2 linked regions of the Macaca fascicularis genome follow. The protein of the gene in region 1 binds, or shares a complex with, the protein of each later gene. Links are inferred from orthologs where the notes say so. Each region holds a gene or a part of one and is shown in the gene's direction. Other genes may lie near its edges.

Region 1 (3,500 bases):
TATAGCATAGCAGTTCCTAACCTGTACTACTCCATGGATGGATTTCAGAGAGTCTGCTTGTACTTATGTGCATTTTTCAGTGAAGCTCTCCATACCTTTCATTACATTCTTCAAAGGAACTGTGACCCAAAACAGTTTAAAAAAAAAAAAAAGAAATGGGAAGAATGATGCAAAACAAAATTAGAAGGAGAAAACCCAGTTATTCCTTTTATAGTGTCTGCTATGTTTTAAAGGGGAAAAAAACAAGAAAAAAGAAAAACCAGTTAGGAGGTTATTGTAGTAATCCAGATGGGCCAAGATTTAGAGTCTGAAATAAGGTAATGATAGGAGAGAGAAAAGTAGACATCTGATAACTATGAAGAGTAGATAGAACTTGGTAATGTGGTAGATTATGGACAGCAAGGGACTAGGGGTGATACCCAAGTTTGTAGCTTAAGAAATTGGGTTGGCCGGCCAAGCACGGTGACTCACGTCTGTAATCCCAGCACTTTGGGAGGCCGAGGCAGGTGGATCACCTGAGGTCAGAGTTCAAGACCAGCCTGGTCAACATGGTGAAACCCCGTCTCTACTAAAAATACAAAAATTAGCCGGCCATGGTGGTGGGTGCCTGCAATCACAGCTACTTGGGAGGCTGCGGCAGGATAATGGCCTGAACCTGGAAGGCAGAGGTTGCAGTGAACCGAGATTGCACCACTGAACTCCATCCTGGGTGACAGAGCGAGACTCTATCTCCAAAAAAAAAAAAGAGAGAAAGAAAGAAATTGGGTTGTCTAGGCACAGTGGCTCTCGCCCGTAATCCCAGCATTTTGGGAGGCTGACGCAGAAGAATCACTTGAGCCCAGGAGTTTGAGACCAGCCTGGACAACATAGACCCTATCTCTACCAAAAAAAAAAAAAATCCACCAGACCTGATGGCACATGCTTGTAGTCCCAGCTACTGAGGGGCTGAGGTGGGAGGATCACTTGAGCCCAGGAAGTCAAGGCTGCAGTGAGCCACAATTGTGCCATTGCACTACAGCTTGGGCAACAGAGCAAGACCCTGTCTCAAAAAAAAAAAACTGGGATGGTTATAGTGCAGTTACCTGAAAACTTACAAAACAGAACAGTTTGGAGAACAAGTGAAAGTGTCAAATAGGCAGCTGAGTCTATGCATCTGAAGCCTAATAGAGGGTTCTAGGATAGGCCGGGTGCGGTGGCTCATGCCTGTAATCCTAGCACTTTGGGAGGCCGAGGCGGGTGATCACCTGAGGTGAGGAATTCGAGACCAGCCTAGCCAACATGGCGAAACCCCATCTCTACTAAAAATATAAAAACTAGCCAGGCATGGTGGCACAGGCTTGTAATCCCAGCTACTCAGGAAGCTGAGGCAGGAGAATCGCTTGAACCTAGAGGGTGGAGGTTGCAGTGAGCCGAGGTTGTGCCACTTCACTCCAGCCTGGGCAAAAGAGCAAAACTCCGTCTCAAAAAAAGAGAGAGAGGGTTCTAGGATAGAGTGACATATTTGGAAATGCACCAATAGTTGAAACCTGGAGAGCAGATAAAATTACCCAAGTAGAGCATGTAGAATAAAAAGAAAGGAAAGGTATGGATAGAACCCTGACAAAACACCAGTATTATAGGTGGGATCTGAAAGAGGAATCGGTGGAGACTGAGGAAAGGTGGCCAGAAAGGTTCAAAGTAGCACCAAGAAAAAATAGTGTCAGCCAGACCCAGTGGCTCACACCTGTAATCCTAACACTTTGGAAGGGCAAGGCTGGCGGATCACTTGAGCCTAGGAGTTTGAGACCATCCTGAGCAACATGGTGAGACCCTGTCTCTACAAAAAATACAAAAATTACCCAAGCGTGGTGGCACACACCTGTGGTCCCAGCTACTTGGGAGGCTGAGGTGAGAGGATCACCTGAGCCCAAGGAGGTCAAGGCTGCAGTGAGCTACGATCACACCACTGCTCTCCAGCCTGGGTGACAAAGACCCTGTCTTTAAAAAGAAAAAAAAAAAATGGTGTCATAAAATCCAAGGAGCCACATAAAGTTTTAAGAAGGAAAAAATGTCCAACCATGTCATATGCTTCCAAAAGGTTAAATAAGATCAGAAGTGGAAAGTATTATTTGAACTTAACAACATAGAGTCCTCAGGGACAATTGTGGAATTTCACTGGAATGCAAGTGACAATTGACATTTCAGTACAATGGTGGAAACGGGTTAAGTAAATCTAGATAGAGATAACAGCTGGGATGGCCAACTGTTTGAGAAGCTTGGCTGTGACAGTAAGGAAAAGAAGAGAAGGCATAGGGTTGAAGGAGAATTCTAGAGTAAAAGAGACTTGGACAGGGTAAAGGCTGATAAGAAGGCGGTAGAGAAGGAAAGGCTGAAGATGTTAGAGGACAGGGTAAAATAGAGCTGGATCCCCAAGAATGAATGAGAGAGTAAGATCTGGAATACCAATATGGGCATTAACCTTAGGTAAAAGGAACATTTTTCAGCTGTGATAAAAGTGAGTGAAAATATGAGTTAAGAACAAAAAAGAAAGAAATGTGGTGAGGATGTGCACAGAGCTGAGTAAGTTCTGGCTTAGTGGCTTCTATTTTCTCTGTGAAATCAGAGGCAAAGTCATCTGCCAAGAGTGAGAAGGAAGAAGGGTCAGGTTGGAGACTTGAGGGTAATGGAGAAGAGTTAAAATAGGGAGAGAAAGGGCGGTCATGGTGGCTCACGCCTGTAATCCCAGCACCAGCCTAGCCAACACTGTAAAACTCAAACTCTACTAAAAATAGAAAAATTAGCCTAGCTCAGTGGTGGTTGCCTGTAATCCCAGCTACTCGGTAGGCTGAGGCAGGAGAATCTCTTGAACCCGAGAGGCAGAGGTTCCAGTGAGCCGAGATCATGCCACTGTACTCCAGTCTGGGTGTCAAGAGCAAAACTCCATCTCAAAAAAAAAAGTAAAATAATAAAATAGGGAGAGAAAGATTGGAGATGAGCTTAGAGAACCTGTTTGAAGTTGGGATTTGTCTAGACACCAATCTACATGACTGAATGATTTTTCTCCAACCAATTTAGTTGTTACTGTGTAGGAAAAGAAATGGTGAACCATTAAATCCAAGCTCCTCACCAGAAAACTTTACATTATATCTAAATGTTTCTCTCTAAATCTTTTCTCTTCCTCAGCCCATTCCAGATGACGGGATTTATTGGCAGGCCAACCTTGACAGATTCCACCAACACTTCCGTGATCAAGCCATTGTGAGTGCAGTTGCTAACAGGATGGACCAGGTAATACCTAAGTGGGTCTGTCATTGGTCATCAGGGACATTTACTTATTTGTCATATCTGGCCATTGGCACAGAGAGCCGGGGGCAGCACTGTGATTTCTGAATTCTAGTTTACTTTTCAAACAGACGAGCAGCGAGATTGTGCGAACCATGCTCCGAATGAGTGAGATTACCACTTCCTCTAGTGCTCCCTTCACCCAGCCATTGTCTTCCAATGAGGTGAGTTTCGTGTTC
Region 2 (3,500 bases), on another chromosome or scaffold:
TCAGCAAAAACAGTTCCAAATTTTTTTATAATAGTATATTAATGGATGGATAGGGAGTGACATACATTCAAATCTCATGATTAATCTGTGAGTATTTAGTGGTAAACTAATATCTGAGATTTCTTTTTTCTGCATAACAGGAGGCTCTGTATGGTGGCTGTAAGGCTGTATAATATTTAAACCAGAAGAACTGCTCTCTGTCTATAATTGAACACTGTTTTCAGTGTCTTTATATTATTCATTTTATTCTTAAATCTGTAAAGTAGTAAGGTTAGATGGTTAAATCTCAACAGGAGAGAAAATGGAGACTAGTAAGTAGAAGAGCTGAAACTAGTAGCTTAATGCAAAAGGAATGAAGCAGTGAGACAATGTATGTGACTTTGAGATCAGTTTTTATTAAAAAGTTGTATAAATCTGCTATTTTTAACCTATTTTATGAGTCTGATTTAGATCTCTATGGTGGAAATAAAGATGAGAATTTTTTTTAAAGATATTTGAGATAGCAATAATAGAAATATAGACTTCCTAGTTCCTATGTGGCAATGAATTTAAAAAGTACTTTTGGCCAGGCGTGGTGGCTCATGCCTGTAATCCCAGCTCTTTGGGAGGCTGAGGCAGGTTGATCACGAAGTCAGGAGATCGAGACTGTCCTGACTAACACAGTGGAACCCCGTCTCTACTATAAATACAAAAAAATTAGCCGGGCGTGGTAGCCGGCACTTGTAGTCCCAGCTACTCGGGAGACTGAGGCAGGAGAATGATGTGAACCTGGGAGGTGGAGCTTGCAGTGAGTCGAGATCGTGCCACTGCCCTCCAGCCTGGGTGAGAGAGCAAGACTCCTCCTCCAAAAAAAAAAAAAAACGTACTTTTACATAACTGGTTTAAATAACTATGTTCTTAATTATAAAATAATAGCATGATTTTTTAGACATAGTGTGTACCCTGCACAGAGCTAAATAAATATGGCACTACAGTTTCCTATTAACTACACAAACTTATTGGTTGCAGGTCTTTTTACTGTGATCTGATTAAAATATAAAAAAAAGTTATAATATTAACATAGCATCATATATGTGTGTCTGTCTTATTATAGATGCTGCAAAAGATCCATAAGCACGCTTTACTTGCACTTTTCCAAAAGGATTTCCATTTGGAAAAATTGCACATATTATATTGTAGTAATAACTCATATAAGACAACATATGAGTCAGTATCAAGATAAATCATCTTATGTCTATTACCTTGGTGTTATTTGTTCTGCCTGAGTGGGTTAAGCAGACAGGAAAGGTAGAGTTTGAATTTTGATTAGAAATTGAGCCTATCTAATGTAGTCTCTCTATTGTCTTTGGTTTCCTTAAATTCAAATTTGAATTAATTACAATTTTTAAAGATACGCATTTAAGAACCAATAAAGGAATAGCCAAGTTGTAGTTACTCCAGATATAAAACCTGTTTTCTCTCTCTATGTAATCTACAAAGCAAATACTTTATAATAGAGATGGAGTGTTTGCAGATTCATGCATTAATATTCCAATTTCTGTTTAGGGGACTAATCACATTTTAGCTGAGGTGATTTATGCCTTAATTATGAGTATTAATATGTGAAATTATTGACTCCTGGAAAACTTGTGAAATTCTCTCATATGTGCAAATTGAGCATAGTACAATTTAGTGAACAGATAATGACAGTAATGAATATAGGTCACTTTTTATTAAATGAAAAAAATTGTTGGTAGTCCTAATAAAAATACAAAGATGTAATTTTAAAGTTAATTTTGTGTACTATTCCCTGATGGTTCCACTTGTGGATAAGTGGAACTCTCATGGAATCAAAGCTTTCCAAACTGCATCTCTCTTTTGTCTTCTCTTTTAGAATTTCTGATAATTGCTGGTATTGACTGTGATTTGAGTTTTAATTTCTCTCTTTCTTCTCCATCTGCCAGATATATTAAGAAACAAGAATTCCTGGCAACCGGAAGTAAATAATGAGAGAGAAAAGAGATAAAGACACAGATAAAATGCAACTAGGATAATCTAGCCCAGGATGACTTGCTATTATAATAATAGTGTTAAATGGTCTCCTGTATAAAGTGAAACATAGACATTTTGAAATAATACTATTACCTTATTTTGTTTCCTTTTATGTTAGAAGGAAAACAAAATAACATTCTAAAAGTTCTCCATAAACTAAGTCACCTCAAATATTTTAGAAGGAGGTAGGGTAGACCGCGAGGCACTGTGGCTCATGCCTATAATCCCAGCACTTTGGGAGGCTAAGGTGGGCAGATCTCTTGAGACCAGGAGTTCGAGACCAGCATGGCCAACGTGGAGAAACCCTGTCTCTACTAAAAAATTAGCCAGGCTTGGTGGTGTGCGCCTGTAGTCCCAGCTACTCAGGAAGCTGAAGCAGGAGAATCACTTGAACCCAGGAGGAGGAGGCTGCGGTGAGCCGAGATCGTGCCACTGCACTCCAGCCTGGGTGACAGAGCGAGACTTTCTCTCAAAAGAAAAGAGAAGGTAGGGAAATTAAGCATTGTGCATTAGAGCTGATAAGCCCAGTATTAATCTGAAACCCAATTATTAAGTAACAAAATCAAAGAAAATGCTGGTTTCATGGTGAGATAGTAAATTCCTTCTTTCTTGAGTTGACTGATAGTTTCTTAGTGGTGACCTGGAGGTGGTGTTAAGATGGGATTAGAATAAGGTGATAGATAACTGTTCCCTTAAGGCTAAGCAGGGAAGTCAGCAGTCTAGTGGTTTCCATACAAATTAATGAAACATGCTTATACCAGGAATTGGAAAAAAGAGATGATGGTGAAAAATCAGATGAGGAAAATGAAGATAAAGAAGGCAGCAAAGAGAAAAGTAAAGAAGGTGATGATGACGATGACGATGATGCTGCAGAACAGGAGGAATATGATGAAGAAGAGCAAGAAGAGGTAATGGTTCATTTGGGGATGGCAGCAAAATAAATAAGGTTTATCTAATAAGGAATCATATATATAGTATGTACTAAAATCAACAAACAGAAACCAAGATGATGGGAACCAGAAGTATATTATTATCAATGGCATCAATTCCTTGCTATCGAGAGAACTATTATAGCATTGAAATTATAATGATGTCAAATTGAATATAGGAGATAAAAATAACTTGATTGGCAGCTTTGTAAGTATAAATCTGCAAGTTAAGGAGATTGATCAGATTAGTGCAGTTAAGATTTAACAACATAAAAATTTAAGTCAGCAATTCACGTAACGGAGGGCTTAACCACATAGGTCTAGAGGAGAATCCCTGCAGTGTGTTTCAAATTCCAAAGTGCGTGTGGACACTATCAGAGAAGATTGATAATTTAACCTCAGGTATCTGGCTGAGTCAGGACCCTGTGTTTTCGATTTGGGATGCCTAACTTTTAGAATGAAATGCACATAGTACATTTCAGAAGTAGCTTGAGTCAATCAGGTATTTTTAGCAGGGTAACTTTGCAGACCACAGCCTCA

The links. The genes of interacting proteins can lie anywhere in the genome.
Region 2: POLR3C (region 1) and POLR3G share a complex: the UniProt entries of both Homo sapiens proteins name them as parts of the RNA polymerase III complex. The link is inferred for Macaca fascicularis from reciprocal best matches to the Homo sapiens genes POLR3C and POLR3G.

Annotation. Positions count from the first base shown.
Region 1 is NC_088375.1:113,582,553-113,586,052, reverse strand, and holds part of POLR3C (DNA-directed RNA polymerase III subunit RPC3), read left to right. Parts: intron 1-3,162; coding exon 3,163-3,267; intron 3,268-3,392; coding exon 3,393-3,485; intron 3,486-3,500. UniProt on the Homo sapiens protein: DNA-dependent RNA polymerase catalyzes the transcription of DNA into RNA using the four ribonucleoside triphosphates as substrates.
Region 2 is NC_088380.1:94,508,330-94,511,829, forward strand, and holds part of POLR3G (DNA-directed RNA polymerase III subunit RPC7), read left to right. Parts: intron 1-2,792; coding exon 2,793-2,939; intron 2,940-3,500. UniProt on the Homo sapiens protein: DNA-dependent RNA polymerase catalyzes the transcription of DNA into RNA using the four ribonucleoside triphosphates as substrates.